3 linked regions of the Drosophila melanogaster genome follow. The protein of the gene in region 3 interacts with the protein of the main gene of each other region in a pairwise test. Each region holds a gene or a part of one and is shown on either strand. Other genes may lie near its edges.

The links.
Region 1: the proteins of CG7443 (region 3) and CG14207 interact in a two-hybrid assay, tested with the Drosophila melanogaster proteins (one large-scale study listed by BioGRID).
Region 2: the proteins of CG7443 (region 3) and CG13551 interact in a two-hybrid assay, tested with the Drosophila melanogaster proteins (one large-scale study listed by BioGRID).

Annotation. Positions count from the first base shown.
Region 1 is NC_004354.4:19,603,207-19,611,217, reverse strand, and holds the start of CG14207 (uncharacterized protein), read right to left. Parts: upstream 6,020-8,011; 5' UTR 5,715-6,019; coding exon 5,536-5,714; intron 1,756-5,535; coding exon 1,729-1,755; intron 1,081-1,728; exon of another isoform or gene 1,056-1,080; coding exon of another isoform or gene 964-1,055; intron 838-963; coding exon 756-837; intron 691-755; coding exon 595-690; intron 523-594; coding exon 328-522; 3' UTR 1-327.
Region 2 is NT_033778.4:23,377,406-23,385,336, reverse strand, and holds CG13551 (uncharacterized protein), read left to right. Parts: upstream 1-1,912; 5' UTR 1,913-2,017; intron 2,018-2,214; 5' UTR 2,215-2,239; coding exon 2,240-2,289; intron 2,290-2,577; coding exon 2,578-2,722; intron 2,723-2,745; exon of another isoform or gene 2,746-2,785; coding exon of another isoform or gene 2,786-3,828; intron 3,829-3,882; coding exon of another isoform or gene 3,883-4,078; exon of another isoform or gene 4,079-4,140; intron 4,141-4,898; exon of another isoform or gene 4,899-5,057; coding exon of another isoform or gene 5,058-5,189; intron 5,190-5,250; coding exon of another isoform or gene 5,251-6,000; intron 6,001-6,054; coding exon of another isoform or gene 6,055-6,471; exon of another isoform or gene 6,472-6,764; intron 6,765-7,159; coding exon 7,160-7,288; 3' UTR 7,289-7,471; downstream 7,472-7,931. Other genes in the region: CG30414 (uncharacterized protein), read left to right, coding at 11-224, 290-332, 388-635, 691-1,103; yellow-d2, read right to left, coding at 2,786-3,828, 3,883-4,078; yellow-d, read right to left, coding at 5,058-5,189, 5,251-6,000, 6,055-6,471.
Region 3 is NT_033777.3:8,322,341-8,325,557, reverse strand, and holds CG7443 (uncharacterized protein), read right to left. Parts: upstream 1,243-3,217; 5' UTR 1,182-1,242; coding exon 1,125-1,181; intron 1,073-1,124; coding exon 985-1,072; intron 932-984; coding exon 657-931; 3' UTR 522-656; downstream 1-521. Other genes in the region: Or85a (odorant receptor 85a), read right to left, coding at 2,504-2,578, 2,633-2,990, 3,051-3,217.

The DNA.
Region 1 (8,011 bases), on a different chromosome or scaffold from region 3:
AAAGGAAAACCAATGGGGGGCAACTACGGCAAAATTGATTACGTTTAATGCGAAAATTATAAATATGAATTAAATTAATCAAATTTAATAATAATTTCAATTATATTTAAGTTAATGAGTAGTACGTCAGTAACATAGTTTAGCTTTAAGTCAGAACCAAAAAAATTAATCATTTAGATAGGATTGGATTAAACTCAATGTGTGTATGGATTTAATCTGATCGGCAGCAGCTCGCACTCCTCCTGCTCCTCCTGCGCCTATTGCTCCTCAACCGGCTTGGGACCATGGTGACTGGATAGCTGGACAACTGGACAACTGGGCTGGCCTTCACTTGTGCGCAATGGGAATCAGTGTCTCGCCGGCGGTGAGTGCTGGCAGGGGGGCGTCCACGGTCAGGACTCCGTCCTTGCTGAGGGACGAGCGGATGGACTCGGGATTGACGCCCTTGGGCAGCAGGAACTCCCGATTGTACTCCCTGTACACGCTCTTTGTGTCCGACTTCTCCTCGTGCTTGGCGTGCACCTAGTCGAAAGGAATCAGATATCCATGTTAGATAAACTCTGCAAAACATAACCATCCTGAGCAGAGACTTACCAATAGCTTCTGGTCGACGGTTTTCACAACAATTTCCTCGGGCGCATACTGGCTGACATCGAAACGCAGCTTCAGCACTTTGTTATCGCCCTCATCCTGCAAAGGGGGATATATAAGTGTTATCCTTTGGCAACCAAGAGTAGATTCCTTGCATTGCTTACCTGGATCAAGGGTGAGCTAATGTCGGAGACGTAGTTCTGTTGCTTTGGGATTCGGGATGGCAGCGCCGAGTTTGTCGTTGAGCTGCAAATAAGTTGAGACGAACATATTGTACATGAGTATTGCAGTTGAGTGTTGAAGCGAAACTTAAGAACAAGTAGACTCGAAATAAAACCAAAGGTGTTAGGGTTGCGTAGGTGAGGTAGGAACCTGGTGGAGGAGTTTGTGGTTGTTGTAGTAGTGGTTCTGGTGGTCCTAGTGCTGCGAAAGGTATTTTGCAGTGTGCGCGTAAAGGCCTCCATGCTGATGCTTCTCCGGGATGAAACTGATCCGGACGTAACGAACCCAACTTAAATGAAGCCGCGATGCTCGACGCCTGTCTAATAATAGATCTGGCTTCCGCTTGAAAGCGATGTACGTATGTATGTATGTACATGTGTACGGATCTGGGGGCAGCAGCTGTCACCCTCGAAACATAAATCTCCCCATATGTCTGTAATAATTTCTATTTTAAGGAACTACCCATAAGGGAATTGAGAATTAAGGCTTCATGTATCTAGACTACAAATAAAACTATTCCTTGCTTCCTTGAAATTGTATGCATACATATGTATCTATGTATGTACATATGTATGTATGGATCGCATCAAAACGGTTTTCTATTATGAAAAACTGCCTATACTTACAACTTTTATAATTTTATCTTTTAGTTTTAAACGAACTGTATGCATTTCTAGTTATGTATTTGCGTCTATACCGGGCTCAAAATTGTTTATAAATAAATGTTATAGTGTATATTTGGCGATTAACATGCGATGCATCTGGTAACGAGTTTCTAGTTTAGTCTGTGTGGATTGCAATAACATTAAACCAATACATTAGTTACCAAACAATAAGGGGTTGAGTGAATGAAAAAAACATTGAGGATAAACAGAAAATAAAAGTTTAGGTTGTAAACTTTCTACGTTATTGTACCTGGTAGTTGTTGTTTTTTTAGTAGAGCTTTTGTTTTAAGAGAGAGGAGAGGAGATTATTATTATGTGGAAATTATTGCGGTTGTTTAATATTTCCAAGCGGCAAGAAAGAGAAAAATAGATAGAAATTGTTTATAATGAGTTAGACAAAAAGATAACTACACATTATCGTACAAGGGTGAGCAATTTTTTAACTATTTTATAAAGGTACAGCCTTGACTCGATATTAAAGTTCTGGAATTTTTAACAATGATCAATGAAAATTTCAAGCCATTCATATGTTTTCTTGTAATTAATATTTAATCATTTTTGGTACATGTTTCTTATGCATATGTACATATATTAATGATAACTCCTTTGTTTTCCGCACTTCCAGTCCCCAATTTCCTTTAGAATGCAAGTTTATCTATTAAGATCCAAGTGTTTCAAGCATAGCATCTAAAAAAAAAGAATATGTATATTACCTACAATAGAGGAAAGTATGCATAAAATATTTACATATTTACCCAGGAAATAATTCATTGGTCCATAATTGTTCACTTTGTATTACATTTTGTCGCACTGCTTTTTCACAATAATTTTTATTTTTAGTTCAAATTAGTAAATCTACACTTATTAAAATTTTGTGATTTCATTTTAAATAATATTGTATTCTTCACTTCACTCTCACATCAATTGATAGGTAAGTCGTTTTTTTTTAAATATTTTTTATGGTTCACCTTAATTTGCATTCTTAGCTTACGGGATTTGATTGACCGTTAAGCCGCTGTGCGTGTCGGCGATGAAGCCAAAATGTATGTGTGTATCTGTGTGTGTGTGCATGCGAGCGAGAGTCGTTGATAAGCGGCCATCAATTGGCACTCCGCAAATTCTGAGCAGAGGCAGAGAAAGCTTATCAATCGGAGCCGAAACGTGAACGTGCGTGGGCTTATTGGCGACCTTGCAATGTGCTTTGCGAGGTTGATCGCCCCTCGAAGAGAGAAATCAATAGCGCGCTAATGATAAGTACCAATAACCGTTAGCCGCCTGGCCAAAGTTTCTTTGGACAGCATGAAGAGGCACCTGCCCTCCCACTCTGGCAGCCGCTCTCACTCCCACCCTCTCCGGCCAGCCCACGTTTTTACATGTGTGTGAGTTGTGTGTGTGTGGTGCGACTACAATATCTCGCTGGCATCTGATGACAATGATGTCATGCATATTTTTTCGTTATTGAAAAGCCAAACGAAAGGAAACCAAAGAAGAACGAAAATAAACACGGGCGCGAGAGGCGGCCAAAAAACCAGAACAAGCGCAAACAAAATGGCTCTCTTTAGTTGTTTGCGGTGTACGCGTGTGTGCGTGTGTGTGTGAACAAATGTCGAATTAAAATATCGATTATCGACGACGATCGGCGTTTTGTCATCGATTGAAATCGAATTGAATAGCATCGAGTCGAAGCGCAGCGCAATAGCTAAAAATTGACATGATATCATCGCAGTTCGCTGCTCATTTGAATTATCAGCATCCAGCCAACAATATTGGCAACTAAATCGCCGCAGCGTGTGCTCATCGCAACTGAAAACTGTCCGTGTGTGCGAAAGCTTTTCGCACAGATCTATTTGCTGGTTAAATATGTGCATATGTATGTATGTATGTACGATCCTAGCGCACTTATTTGTTTAAACTGTGCGCACACACAATGAGTCTATAAATTAGGCAAACCGTTGGCATTGCCTATGTTTGGTAGCCATCCCATCCCATCCGATCCGATCTGGCCAATACAATTTCCATGCATTTGCATGAGATAATCGCACCAATCTATTTTACTGGGAACCGCATCCAAATCCATCTGAATCCGCACATTGTTCATATCTGAAGGCGCCAGCATTGATGTGCGGTCTTTGCTTATGGCCAAGTTGGTTAAATGAGGCCCTGCACTACACACAATCTATCGTTAGTATGTGACAGTACGTACATACATACACATATGTATGTATATACATACATATGTTCAAGAAAGTTTTATTTAAAATGTGCAAATGGCCTGAACAGCTTTTGGCAGCTACGCAGGAATTGCATGTTTGTAAACATGTTTTTCTTATGCCATAATAATAAAATATACATTGTTGGGAATGTATCCAGTTAAAAGCATAAACTATTGCTTCAAGTGGCAACTTCGGTAGGGCATAGATACACCTACCTGTATGGATTTATTGCCCTGTATATGGGGCGTGCGTTTATTCCGTGCTGAGTCATTCAGATATCACGCAGCGCTTCAATTGACAACACGCCACAGCCACAGCCAAGCCGCTTAGGTCAAAGGTTGCGGACAGTGGGCAGTTATGGGCGAATGATTGAATTATTTGGCAAGTATATATCCAATACTACTACTAAGCTACTAAACTACGTGGCCAATCTGTGGCGATTATTAGGCTAATCGCCCGAAGCAAGCCCTGGCGCACAACTTATGCCGCCACTGTGAGTTTCCCTTCATTTCCAATTAAATTTGCAGCCAGGAGGGCACAATACCAATTTGGGTTAATTTCCTTTCACTGCCAACTTTGACGTTGAATGGGCAAAGTTGTGGAGAGGAGCGCTACCAAGTTCTGAAACAGACGGAAGTCTGGTGGGGGGGAGGGGGGTGGAGTCGTAACATTTCTGTTGTGGCCATGCAAATGCAGTGGCGACCATGGCGAAGGCAACAACAAATAGAGTCCATCGGTTCGATTGCGTCATACGGCGAGGTCGTCCCAATAGCAACCAAAACTGGCGCCCACGCAACGCAACTCCAATGGAAAGGCTAACGAGACGCGCAACCGCGACGGCGTCGGCGACATAGTATTTGCCATTCGCCTTTGGGGCATTGTTTGTTTATTAATCGCTGATTTGGGCAATAAACCTATGTTCATTGAAAATGCCACTCGTAACATTCAACTGGAATTTCTCTCTCTCCCTCTCTCTGATTCGTATGAATATGCGAGGGTGTTAAAATACCGCCGAATCACTTAATTGACTTGCAAATGGAAATAGATTGCTAGGTAAACGCGTTTGTCACTTATGTATGCTTTAAAAACAAGTAACTACAAATGGAAATAGTTAGAGATTTAATGAACATTATTCATGTGTGCCACCGATCGTTTCAATGCTTTGCGTTTTCAAATATTTAATTTTGCTCGCAGAGACCAGATTTTAATATCTTATCTCATTATCAACAATTACATTTTTCTGCTCAGCTAGAAACCCACACACACACACACATATAACGGAATATCTTGGCACAGGTGATTCTCAAAGTTCGAAAAATTCCGTTATGCCCTACATAACGGTTGCATAAACCGTATGGGACTCGAGATCGAGCGAAAGGGGAGGGCACAAGACGCTGGCTAGCCATGTGCCGGGGCGGGGGAGGGGGATTTACTAGCGGGTGGCGGGCAGCAGATACACATGTGTTTCTTGGCCGGAGACAGCGGCGGAGAATTTAGAACTGGTGACTCATCCTCCCCCAGAGCGACGGCAAAGAAATACACATAGTGTATCTGGGGCGAGAATTGAAGCGGGCCGCTCGCCTCCTATGAGGCCCACTGTTTAGTACATACATATGTATGTATGCACGTATGTACATATGTACATACGTAGGAGAATCTGTGGGTGAAGAGCTCCAGACCAGTGGGCGATGTGGCAAGATGTGCGCCTATATTTAGAGGAGCCAACAACGAGGCGATGAGTCGAGCGATTCGGGATTGGGTTCCATCGCAGTACACCCGGTAGAATCAGGCTATGTGGAATTATCCCAGTGTTGGGATCCCACTTGTATCACTATTACGCTTACCTGGTGGACTCGAAGAAGTTCGCCTCGCGGTTCATCAGCTCGTGACGGAACTTGGCCATCTCCTCCTCCATTTTGCGCATCTCGGAGTCGAAGCGCTCGCGGATGTTGCTGAACTCCGTGTCGATGACGCTGAAGTCGCCCAGCTTGATGGGGATATTCCTCTTGTTAGCCTCGGCCATTGTTGTGCTGTTTGTGGTGGTTTATTTGGTGGTTGCTTCGCTAGATGGAATCTCCAATCTCTTCGCTGTACACTGTATACCGTATATACTGTATATACTGTATACCGTTCTATTATTCTCTGTTCTGTTCTGTTCTGCTCAACGCGCTTTCGAGCTTGTTCACTTGCTAATCGACGGAGCAACCAAAAAAAAAGGGAACTCGATGGGTTTTCTATATGTATTCGAAACTCAAGACGTTCAAGTGTGTGATTTCGGTTGGACGTATCGCACAGATAGCCGCGTTTCAATTTCTGAACTGTTTTGCATTCACAGTGTGTCTTTGCTTTTATAGCTTTCGTACCGATTGTACTTCGATTGCCGCTGCGCAGCAGTGTGGCGATATCGATAGACCGATGAAGCCGCATTTAGTCATCGATTTGCGGATTTGATTATGTTTCTATTGCCATTGGATCAAAAAGAACTTCTATCCGCAAAGGGAATTGTTTAAGCGTACTTTAACCACTAATCGTTAGCGGACCACCCAAAACACTATATTCGCTGTATTGATTTTGTATTTTATGGAAATAATGACGCACGGGGAACACATTTAGAAGTGAAACAATAGTTGTAAGACAAATTTGGTTTATACAAAATGACCGAAAACAAGGAAGCCATGATTTATTTTCCGTTAATAAGCTAGTAATTCATAAATGCAATGAAATAACATAACACATTTCAAAGCTCCTAAAAAACTTTCTAGGAACAAGTGTTCAATTAGCAACAATTAATTAGTTGATGATCAACTTGATCTTGATAAGTATGCTTAAAACTTCTCGCGTGGGAGCCATTCAGTCATGGAAGTGAGTTCCTCGAACTGTGATTCCAATTGCATCTGGTTCAGCATTTGTGTGCTGTGAGTGCGAGTGGAAAGTGTGAGTATGAGTCGTGTTGAGTTAACCGGTTAACCGATCAACGCTTCCTACCGTTTTGGGAAATGATCTTCGGTATAGAGAGAAAGAGAGAGAGAGAGAGAGAGAGTTGCACATTGGTGGAAAGTGCATTTTCCGTCCTGCGGTGGGTTGGCATTATCCATCGTCCTAAAATAGAACATCTATGGCGTGATGGCCCACGATATCTTGTCCATATTCGCGGGGTTACTTACACCCAGAGCTCATCATCATTAAGACCTTAAATCAAAAAGCCAATTCCGCCCATTGTGCGAATCGATAAATCCCAATATTAGACCGGGTGGGTGGAGAACGTTGGCGGCCCAAATACACGCAGAAAAATATATGTCATATATACATATGTAAATTTAAATATCTCTATGCTGAGCTAAGATTGGAAATTGTACTGTTGTAAGCTTGTTAGCTATAATAGGATATGTTTCCTAATCTAACAGAGAGGCATTATAGTATCTTAGTATCTGTGTCGTTTTCTGCCAGTGTGCTTGGCCATATCCATGGTACTACCCACTCCGCCGCATCGGTTTGTTTGTAAACAAATGCGAAATGACTCAGCCGCGTGACATTGGCGGTCGGAGTCGAGAATCGGGAATCGAGCCAAGTCGAGTCCATTCGATTCGATTCAATTCCTTTTAGGGAGCGTCGGCCAGGGGAATTAAAATTTAAATTGAAATTAATGAGAGCCGGATTGCAAAGTTGCAACTGCAGAAAAAATGTGCGATATATATTCATAAGTTTTATGAACCATATGCATATTTAGCTAGACAAACTAGATTTTTCTTCAACTTAACAATTGCATCTCTCATCCATAAGAAAACTCATTAGCTGGAAATTTGATATCTTTTAAAGCTGTTATTGCCTGCACATAACTTACATTCTTTTGTTTTTTTTTTTTAAGTGCAAGTGCGACATATTAAAATGCAATATTTTGAATCCGTGACCGTTTTACTGCTCGAAATTCCATCGGGGACAACGGCAGTTGTGCCATCAAAATAATTATAGACTTAATCACGAATTTCGAAAATAAAACGACAATCATCGTGGCTTAACGGCTGAGGTGTTTTCATTGTACATCCATACATACATGTGTACATATGTACATATGTATTTTTCACAGCGCCCACATGCTCGCAATGGCTAATGGCTAATGCCCCCTGTCCAAACAACAAACTCATTTTCATCAATAATCTCGACCTTGAAGTCCCCAGTGTCCCCACAAAGCATACATATCGGTATTCAAACAAAATTAATTTTTGAAAAGAGGATTCCAAGTTTGCACATTCGTGCACGTTTCAGTCTTAATTCAATTGTATTTTGTGCCTTTTCAAATCATTCAAATCAATTTTGTTTGAT
Region 2 (7,931 bases), on a different chromosome or scaffold from region 3:
CCGCGAAAAGATGAAGTTCATCGCAGCTGGATTAGCTCTTCTGGTCTGCTCCATCCAGTTGGGTGAAGGAGCACCTGGTCACCTGCTAGACTCCAGTTGTGGCACGACAAAACCAGAATTTATCCCAATGATCACCGGGGGCGCAGACGCAGGCCTATTCTCAAATCCATGGATGGTGAAGGTGCTAGGCGAGAAACTATGTGGTGGCTCGCTAATCACCAGTCGTAAGTATTCAAATGTGGCCCACGAATGAGTTCTTTGTCCAGTCACCTGCTGCTAATACTTTCAGGCTTCGTTCTCACGGCCGCCCATTGCATCGTTAGTACACACATGTAAGTGAGGCAGCACTGTCTTTCGGCGAACACTTACGAATTCCCATTTCCACAGGAGAGTACGCTTGGGCGAGTATAAAACCCGCTTTCCTGGCAAGGATTGCTCGCGCTGCGTGCCCAAGTCATATAAACTCAGGAGAATACGCTTGGGCGAGTATGACACCCGCTTTCCTGGCAAGGATTGCTGCGTGCCCAAGTCATATGAACTCGCTGTGGATAGAAAGATTTTGCATGCGGATTATAACCTAAACTTGGACAACGACATCGGCCTGTTGCGCATGAAGAGCTTCGTCCAGTACTCAGGTAATGAGGTGGATCCAGCAGCCAGGGCTCCCTAAGCAGTGGACATATCTTTCAGACTACGTCCGGCCGATCTGTCTCCTGGTCGAGGGACACATGGCGGAAAGTCCCATCTTCAACATCACCGGCTGGGGTGTCACCAACGATGGCACGCCCAGCCGGAGGCTCCAGAGGGCCACTGTGTACAACACCGACCTCCACTTCTGCCGAAGCAAGTTCACCAAGCAGGTGGATGAGTCGCAGATTTGTGCTGCTGGCACAAATAGCGATGCATGCCACGGCGACTCGGGAGGCCCGCTGAGCGCACAGGTTCCTTTTGCCGGCAGCTGGCTGACCTTCCAGTACGGACTGGTCAGCTACGGGTCGGCGGCATGCCATTCCTTCTCCGTTTACACCAACGTTACGCACCACAGGGACTGGATTGTGAACGCCATCGAAGACTTCAGCAGAGCTTTCCAGCTTAGACTCTAGCTACTCATAATAACATTTCGTTGGCTTTTCTAAGAAAATATTATCAATCCAAAATATTATCTCGAGTGGTTTAATGGCTCCCCTGACTTCTGTCGTAGACGCCATTCGGGTCAATAATATCTGCATTAGTATTTATGTACATAAGCGAAGCTTATCTTCAGCAAATTTTAACGCTATACGCAGCGAAGCCTCGCTTTGACTGATTCCCCAGAATTCTGGGGAAAAACCGAACCCTTGGAGAAGGTTCACTTCTACACCCTCACTGGCTGGGGTCACACCGCAGACTATAAGCCCAGCCGCATTCTCCAGGAGACCACTTTGCTTGCGCTCGAACAATCGTGTTGCAACAGCAACTTCAACATCGAAGTCGACCAGTCCCAAATCTGCACCACTGGCGTGGACAGCGATGCCTGCGGTGGGGATTCCGGGGGCCCGCTGAGCGCGAAGCTGCTCTTCGGGTTAAAGAAGCGGGCTTTCCTGCTCGGACTCGTCAGCTACGGGGATGCATCCTGTAGGATCTTCGAAGTGGCCACGAATGTGACGCACTACGTCGACTGGATTAAGGCAACAATCGACGAGAACTCAAGTTAAAGCGTTAAAGCGTCAAGTTAGAGTCCAAGTCGATTGAGAATTTAAATTTGTTGCTAGTAAGAAATCTGCAATTGAAATATTAGTTTACCATGATTAAGTAAACAACAGAAGAAGCTTAGTTTTATTTGCAGTATGCAAAGGGTATAAAGCGTTATCGATTAAAATCGCAAGCTCACATATTCGATAGACCACGCCGACTGTGCTCGCTCTGCCGCGAAGGTATTATTTAAGGGTGCGCCTACGGTCACTCTGCAGAAAACTTTTGTCGTCGCAAAAATGTAAGTAATGTTCAAGCGCGCCGCACTTTTCCGGCATTAAATCTAGTATGTGCATTGGGTATTCGTGTATATATTTTATACAAACAACAAACAAAGAACTGGCTAAAAATAGCGGCTCTTTTATTGCGACTTGGTTTTCGAAAAAGTTCAATGCACTCCGTTTTGTTAAGGAGACGGCTTTACAGTTACTCTTCGTAATGGAGTTTTCTCAATAAATTGTATTTTCTGCGCTTCTCTTGCAGCTAAACTACTCAAGAATCAAACAGAATGTTCGTTGTACGTCGTAGCGCATCTCGTCTGTACCCCGCTGGAGTCCAGTGAGTTTCTACCCACATTTAACCCCCGTTCATAACTACCTGCTAATTGGCTTACAAGACTTAACAGAGCACTCATATCTCATTCGCCATATTCAAAGTGTTATGTATGCCCCCAACTTACACTTTCCTCAATGTTCGATAAGATAAACAATTCCGATCCCATCGAAATCGCTTTCACCCTGCGCGCATGTGTGTGTGTGCAGTCTATGCTGACTTCACTCCACTGTTGCGTAACCGCACAAAACCAGAAGATTCTAATGGTTCCCACCGCCATTTTCCGCTCCACAGGCTGGCCAAGATGAGCGGCAGCCAGGTGGGCGACCTAGGCAGTGGCGCCGGCAAGGGAGGCGGCGGCGGTGGCTCTATCCGCGAGGCCGGCGGAGCCTTCGGCAAGCTTGAGGCTGCCCGCGAGGAGGAGTACTTCTACAAGAAGGTGAGTGACCCAGAAAACAACTTATTTCATCATTAGCTTTATTGAGCAGCAGCGGGAAGCGACTCAGTTGCAAGGCCTGCCGCTGAGCAGCTCCTGAACACCGCACTTCTGTATGCGAAAGTTTATCTCCTTGTAGTCCAGACCCGCTCCGAAGGCTTTCTGCAGCCGATTCGACAGCACCCACAGTTCCTCCTTGCCCTCGTGGTTGCGCACTATCTTGAGTCCACTGGCGAACTGCAGTCGCTGCTCATCCTCCACCAGCATGACCAGATTCTGATGGCTGTAGCCGGTGCGAATGTTCCAGGCCAAAAGGCTGGCCGGCTGGACCAGGCCGCAGATCAGAAAGCCGGACTCGCTCATGGCCGCCGCAACGCATTGACTTCCCCGCTTGCCCAGCAACTGGAACTGATCCAAGGCAGCGCTCACATCGTTCAGCCGCCAGTTGCTGCCGTTGTTGACCACATCCAACGGAATGGCCATTTGCCACTCGCTGGACAGAGAGTGGAAATACATCATCCGCCGGCCACCCAAGCCGTGGGGCGTTAGAGTGGTAGACACCGTGCCGTCCCACAGCTGGAAGCTCTCGCCTGCTATCGTGAATGTGCCGAAGTCTGGATGAGGATACGTAAACTTGTTCTCAATCCGCCACGACTGCTGGGCTGCCACGTCATACACCACAATGCCGTCTCCAATGGAGTCCGCCATGTACACGAATCCCACATCGCAGTTGTGCGGATCCAGCTCCACGGTGGGCGTGACAAAGCGACTCACGCCCTCCTTGTACAATCGCTTGGGCATCTTGTACTGATGCGCGACTTTTCCGCTTTCCAAGTCAATAGCGTACAGCTGCGGCGGGCAGTGCTGAATGAAGTCGATCTCGCCGCTGTCCAGGATCCACATGCGCCCGCACTCGTCTATCTGTGTGCGGTACACCGAAGTCAATCCATTGCAGTCGGCTCCGTGGGATTTGTGCCACTCGTAGCTGGGATAAGCCTGCAGGAGAGTCCCGTTCGGTCGCATTTCGTTTGTGACGTAGGCCAGAGAGTATGGAACGCCCTTGGCAAAACGCGGAATGGTCACGAATATCGAGGGTGTGGCATCGCCATCTAAATGAGAGAGCAAATTAGGTAGGCTTTTGTGCTGAAATGGAGAACTCCTACGCTTGTAGTAGACGTCCACATCGATGGGGATCACGCTGCCCGGATCGTATAGTCCATCTCTCAGCGCGCGCTGTCTTTCCTGCGGCGATGGAAACTCCAGCTCCAGATTGTAGGCTCCAAAGACACTTTCCAAGGCCTGGGCGGATGCTGCCAGCCAGCACCAACAGCAGACACCGAAGACAATCCAACGCTCCATGCCGTAATCCTTTCACTTTCGCGACAACTGTTCCACTTAAACACCGAGCGGATACTGCACATGCGCGTGGAGCTGCGGGCCCATGTCTTTCTAATCCAGCCAGCCACTCAGCAGGCTAAGCGGGTCAGCTTTTGTAACTGGTTTAATTGCACACCCAAAACTCTGTGCACTGAAATTCTGGTCGAGCCATGGCAGTTTGTTTACTGTTCACTGGTGTCCACCTCGGAAAACAAGTTGCTGGTGCTGGTATTGGCTAATTATGCACGCCGCCACCCATTTGGACCGATTGCTCGGTTCGTCGCCCCATTAAGTGTGATCCATTATCCAGTCAGTACAATTTAGTTCCCAATCCAGTTCCAATCGATGCTGCTGATGCCCGAAACGGTTAACGTCACTTGATGGCGCTGAATCAGGTCTAATCTTAAGCCACTGCGGCTTCTACTGGCCAGTGGGATTCGTGCGTGACTAGACTGTTGCTTGGGAGTACAGACTTGGGGCGATAACAAGTGACCCTGAACTTTGCCACAAATTGTGTGGCGCAAGAAATTTGAAAATCAAAATAATACAGTAAAGCTTCGGACGCATGCATTCATAGGCCAAACATATGTAGAAGAAACTCCAATTCTTCCATTTCTCACAATAACTTTTATCAACTTTTATAGTCAACATTTCTTTGAAAGTTTGTAACCGAAAAGTTAGCTTTCTCAAATCAGGTTCATCGTTTTATGCGCATTTATATGGTTTGTTAGCAAAGTAAATTTAAATATTTCGCTGTCGTAAAATTTAAATTATTCAAGGGAATGAGTACCACAAGATGGTTAATATTTACACGTCATATATATTTCTTAGGCTTTGCGGAATCTTTACAATTTCAGATAGGCTGTTATTAGCACTTAGGCGGAATTCGCAACGATCCCCCAGTGAAGTGCACAACAAAACTAATATTTACATATATTAATTAAGTGGATTTGCTAAGTCACTAGCTAAACACCAGGCGATTGGTTAGATCCTCGTCGTTGGAGAAGAAGACGCCGCCCTGGACATCATCCAACTTGCGGCGCAGGATGCGGAAGTTGACCTCCTTCGAGTTCAGCGTACCTGCGGCGATTTTCTAAGGGAACAATCGTAACAATCAGTTTACGGGGCACACAAAAGCCTGCTGAACATCAAACCTGGTAGCGATTGGAGAGCATCCAGAGTTCCTCCTGCCCTTCGCGGTTCCGCAACACCTTCATGCCGCTGACGAACTGCAGGTCATCGGACTTGGCTGGCAGATTGCCAAAGTTTCGCGAATTGTACGGCGAGTTCACGTTCCACACAAAGAGCTTGACGGGATTGAAGGTGACGCAGTAGACGTTGTTCCTGCCATCGATGGCGGACGCGGCGCACTCGCTCCGCCGCCTGCCTAGCAGCCTGAACTCCTCCGGCAGAGCCTCCGGCCCGTTGGCCCAGTTCTGCTGCCGGTTCAAAGCACTCAGTGGCACGGAATACTCACTTGCACTGGCCAGCGGATGGAAGTAAAGATTGCGCTTGTCGTTGTTCAGTGCAAACATGCCGTCCATCAGGTAGAAGCTCTCGCCTGCTATGGTGTGCTTGCCGTAGTCCGGATCGGGATACATAAAGCGGTTCTCAGCCCGCCATGATGTCTGCGCCTGGTGGTCGTAGACCACCAAGCCATGATAGCTCACATCGGCCACATAGATCATGGTGCGACTGCAGGTTCCCCTAGGCGGAGGATCCTGGACGAGTACATTTGGCGTGATGAAGAGCGATCCACTCGGGATGTATGTGTCGTTCGGGAAGCGGAAGCGATGCAGCAAGCGATCGGTGGCCAGGGCGAACTGCAGCAACTGCGGCGGACACAGCTGGGTGGTTCCAATCACACCCGAATCGATCACCCACATCTGGTTGCACTCGGTGATCTGGAAGAGATTCAATGTAGAAAAAACTTAGCTGTCCGAACATTTTACACTTACAGCCACTCTGAATGCGGATGTTATGCGATCGCAGTCCTCGCCGTTGGCATTGTGCCAGGAGTAGTTGGGATACGGCTGCAGCAGCGGGCCATTCCTGCCCTGCGTCGCTGAAACGGTGGCCAAGGTGTAGGGAATGCCCGTCACGAAGCGCGGAATAGTGGTGAACAGCCTGATCTGGCCATTGGCCATGTACTGTGGCTGCACATCGATGGGAGTGCCGTTCTCGGGCACCAGATTACCCGCCGCCTGAGCGTTCTCCCGATCCTGCGCCGTGGGAAATCCGAACTCCAGCTGGCCCCACTGCGTCAGCGTTTCTACAGTGCGCACGGGACGCGGTCCATTGACACCGACGCCATAGCTCTGGGCTAGCGTCAGCGAAAAGGCGATCAGCAGTATCCGGAGGGGCATCATAACCATTCCGCAGCAGAGTCGGATGGTAAATGTTCTGTTCGAACTAAGGGCAGCTGCTTATCAAGCAAGTTGGTTCCTGAGGCGTTGATAAGTGGCAGAGAGGCAGGCAGGCTGGCTGGCGGAGATCGAAGAGTGTGGACCGCGGCCTGGCTTTGTCTACTTGTTGACGACCAATTAAGAGCAAGGGTCTGTTGATATTTGGCCAGATGCGGCCTAACAATGCGGAATAATTTAATACGGTGACCCCGATCTAACGACACTTTCTTCGACGTCTCACTTCGGTAGCCAACTATCAACTGAAAACAGGCTTTTTAGCTTGGTGGCTTGAAGACGAGCAGGCAGAACGGCAGACAATGATTCAGGTTCATTGGCGGCAGGTGGTTTTCCCCCGATCTTTTTCGCACTCTTTACAGACTTCCGTCGACTGTTTGTCGTGGTCATTCAGGCGATATCCGAACTTTTTGTCTGCCCGTGTGACGGGTTCGGTCTGAAAATTGTTAACCAAATATTGTCTCTTGTAGTAAAGCCTCTTATATGGCTGGCAGCTAATGATGACAGTCGATCAATATTGATGGCAAGCTTCAGGGGTGGGCGGGCTTAGCTAACCAGCAATTAGCTTTTTACGACTTGCTAGCACTAATTGTATTTCGCACCGGCTAATCGAGAGAATCCATCATTGTTCGTTTCGTTGCAGCAAAGGGAGCAGCTGGATCGCCTTAAGAACGACCAGATCCACCAGGCTGAGTTCCACCACCAGCAGATCAAGGAGCACGAGGAGGCCATCCAGCGCCACAAGGAGTTCCTCGAGAACCTGCACAAGTGAGCGGTGATCCATCCACCGGCAGAAGGCGACCGCACGGACGGATGAACTCGAGACATTTACTAAAATGCATTTCACTCTCTTTTGTATGTTCCCAAGTGCTCACTACCACTTACCAGTAACCCAAAAATTATATATGTATTTGAAAAGTGCGTAATAAACCATCCATATTTTGAATGCTTTAACTAGAAGCTCATCTTTAGCTCGTGCTGGAACAGGTTACTAAAGTTTATGGCCGCTTCGTTACAGAACCAAAGCAATAAAGTTCGTTGATGTGTTTCTTTATAAGTTATTTTTCAATTCCTCTTCGTTAATAACTAAGGCCTTATCGCCTGCCGTTATAATCGACTAAAAATCAATTAACTTAAAAAGAATAACAACTTGTAAAAAATAGAATTTATGAAAAGAGTGTATATTTCACGTACAAGAAAACACAGTTATACGAACTATTGCGCGGTTTTTATAAATAAAGAAGTGCAATTTAAACGTATGCTGCATTATCTTCGAATAAAAACAAACTGTAGGGTGCTTAACTAAGCGTTTTTGCCCACAACATGAGGATTCCTCAAACACGAGCGGCTACTTAAAATGCTAAATCATTGCATAATTAGCAAGTTTGACCAGCTTTCATTCAGTTTTAGCGTGT
Region 3 (3,217 bases):
GAAGCAAATAAAGATTTGAACATTTGAACTAAAGGAAGTTCAATTAAAGCTTACGATTTGGATACAGATTCATTTTATTCAGACCTCCATATCTACGGAAGAAACTGTGACATGTGTTGGAGGATTCAACTATATTTGTCGCTTCCATGATCTTTGACTCCACTTCGTGTCTTTCTGGCTGGCGCTGGATATTGTGGAACCGCACACAGACCATCTCGTCGTGTAACTCAATTCGTAAATAATTAACGATCACGAGATTACAAATGTCAAACAGAATGTCATGTTGGGAATGCCATCGTGCCCGTCGAGGGGGAACCGGAGCTGCTCCTTTCGCCGCCACATATCTTAAAAGACCGAGTGAACAAAAACCACCGACTTGGCTCCCTAGCCACCAGACTCGATCCTCAATGCGTGTGGGTCTGTGGCGAGTGCCAGCCGATCTGTTGTGACTTATGTCAAGACAATTGCGTTACAATATTTTGAAGATTCAAAGTGCCTGGGAATGAGAACCGCACAGATTTATGGCTAAAACGGAATGAACGTCTGTTTTATTTGAGCTGGGTTATTAGCCCATGGGCAACATTATCGTATACCAAATCCCATTTAATAGCTAGTGTTAGAGAGGTGTTATAAGGTGTGGGTAAGGATAAGATAATCTAACCACCAGGGGCAGCTGTGGGTGGGGCAGCTGTAGGTGGGGCAGCTGTGGGTAGGGCAGTTACTACAGGTTGTGGCGATGTCGCAGGTGCCGACGGAGCAGGCGTTTCGGGTGCAACTGTGGCTGGAACTGCAGGAGTCGAGCCAGGAGGAGTGGCAGGCGCACCTGGTGAACTCCCTGGAGCTGCTCCACCTGCCTGCGGAGCTACAGTGCTTCCATTCGCTGTGGCGTTTGGAGCAGCTTGAACAACTACCGTGCAGTTACGACAAATCACTGAGAATAACAAATCAAAAGGTCACTGAGTTCAAGACGGTCTCTCAACTTACAAACGTTCTCATCGCCGGCATCATCACTATCACTATCATTGTCATAGAGTATATCCTCGAGGATAGTCCACCAGTCGGTATCGCGTTTCTAAAGCAAAAAGTTGAAATTATTATATGTTTAATAAGTACAACCGACTGACCGTCTTGACAGAGGTTTCCTCCAATGACCTAGCCTCAATGCTCAGAAAACTAAACATAAGGCAAAGGCCCACTGCGAATAATATATCCCTTCTGGCCGACATCGCGACTTCAACTGACCAAAGTTGCTCAGAAAACCTACTTATATAGAACCTAAAGCCAATATTTTGTAATATTTAGTGGCTGTTAGTGCTGAAAAGTGGACTATTTCGAATTTATGGTGGGTATTCAGGAGCTTAGACGCGTACAAATGCTTGAAAACTTTATTATAGGTAAACTTTGTAATCACGTCAGAAAATTCAAAATCGGCTGAATATTATTAGAGTATCTATAATAATGATAATAAGAATATATGAGTTTTCAACTTATTTAACTTGGCATAATCCGCATTCCAAACCTTTTCCTAAGCAGCTACTAACAGTATTCCCTAGTCGATCTCTAGTTATATGCCATCTATTACAACCACCTTTAATGAGGGGAGATTCCGTCGATTTCGAACAGTTTTCCATATTTATGCAGCTGCACGTTCGCTTTGTCTGGGACTCCGAAACGAGCCCGAGTGTGGGCAAGTACTCTAGCTATGATCGAACTGCAATTGACAAGTGCGCAAATCCATAACCATAAACTATGTACACGAAATTCGACACTGTTGGGGATCATTAGCCGGGGATCGTTGGAAGTGGGGGAGTGGAGAAGTCGGGGGATTGGGGGATCGGGGAATAATGTCGGGCAACAAGTGGGATGGTAATGCGATATCAAAGCAGCGGGAAAACGAGCTTGTAAGTCGCGAATAGCCTCCTGAATGGAGCAGCATCGAGGTCGATATACTCCGTCTCTCGGTTCATTATCGCTCCTTTATCCGGTTCCTTCCTGATTTGTTGCGATTGCCGCCACGAGTAACCCGGGAGCTCTATTGCGGTTTTTATGGCGCTGCACTCTCCAGTACGTGTTGCACTTGGAGTTGCTGTTGTGGAACACGATTCGAAATTAGAAGACGGCGCAGATGTGCAGCAGTGCCTCCAACTGCCCATAATGGTAATGGACCGGACGGCAGTTTCAGACGGGCAGCGAGCTCCAGCGGCAGGTGCCAAGAGGAGGAGGAGGAGGAGGAGACTCCTCCAGTCTCCAGATAAGAGGGCTACCCATTTGACACCATATAATGGCAAGCTATTATAGTAAAGTTTCAGTTGTGCTTTGTTTGCCAGAAAAGTTATGATAACGAAAGTACAAACTGATTTTCCAGATATCTAATAGATTGCCATAATGTTTGCAACACATTTAAATTTTATATAATCATTCTATATATTTTCATTTATTGATTGTGCACAAGTGAAACTACTCTCTTAAATTGAGTTGATCAAATTTGTGGCACTAAACCGAATTACTCCCTTCTCAATTTCTCGGCCAAGTCCATCTCATTTACAATGGTCACCACTGAGAAAGCGAACTTGGCCATCTGAAAGATTTTGTTTACAATAAAATGTAATGGTTTTGTATGATATTATCTTACCTTTATATTGGTGTTTAGACATATGGGGAAAATTCCGCCCGCAGTGAACAAAATCGACTGCTGAACATTGTGAATGAAGTACAACATCGTGGTTCTGTATCGTCGCTCAGCTCCAATCCACTTGGAATGGAACAGTGTGTTGGTCAGGGATTCGCAATCGCTGCTCAGCTGCTCACAGACATAGCAAAATGGAAAGGTCTGGGATAGAATGGCTATGGTGTAGACCCCGGAGACAACACGCTCCATTACGGTGTTATAGAACTGCATGGACACCGCTGCCAGACCCAAAAGTAAGCCAACGGATAGTAGTTGGATGAACATCGTGGCGGATATCATGGGACGCAGAGTGTTTCCATATCTAATGAGGAAAATTGAGTGGATTATGGCATTCTGCAAAGAGTATTCCATTCTTCCTCACTCGACAATTAGCTTGTGATCCTTTACACACTCCACCAGCTCGGCATAATGTTGATCGTCGCCTTTTTCCACATCAGTACGCAGCGTCTTGATTCGCTCACTCAAGAGCTCCATGTGGATCCGCAGAACGACCACATATATGATGGGATATACGTCCAAAATGAGATT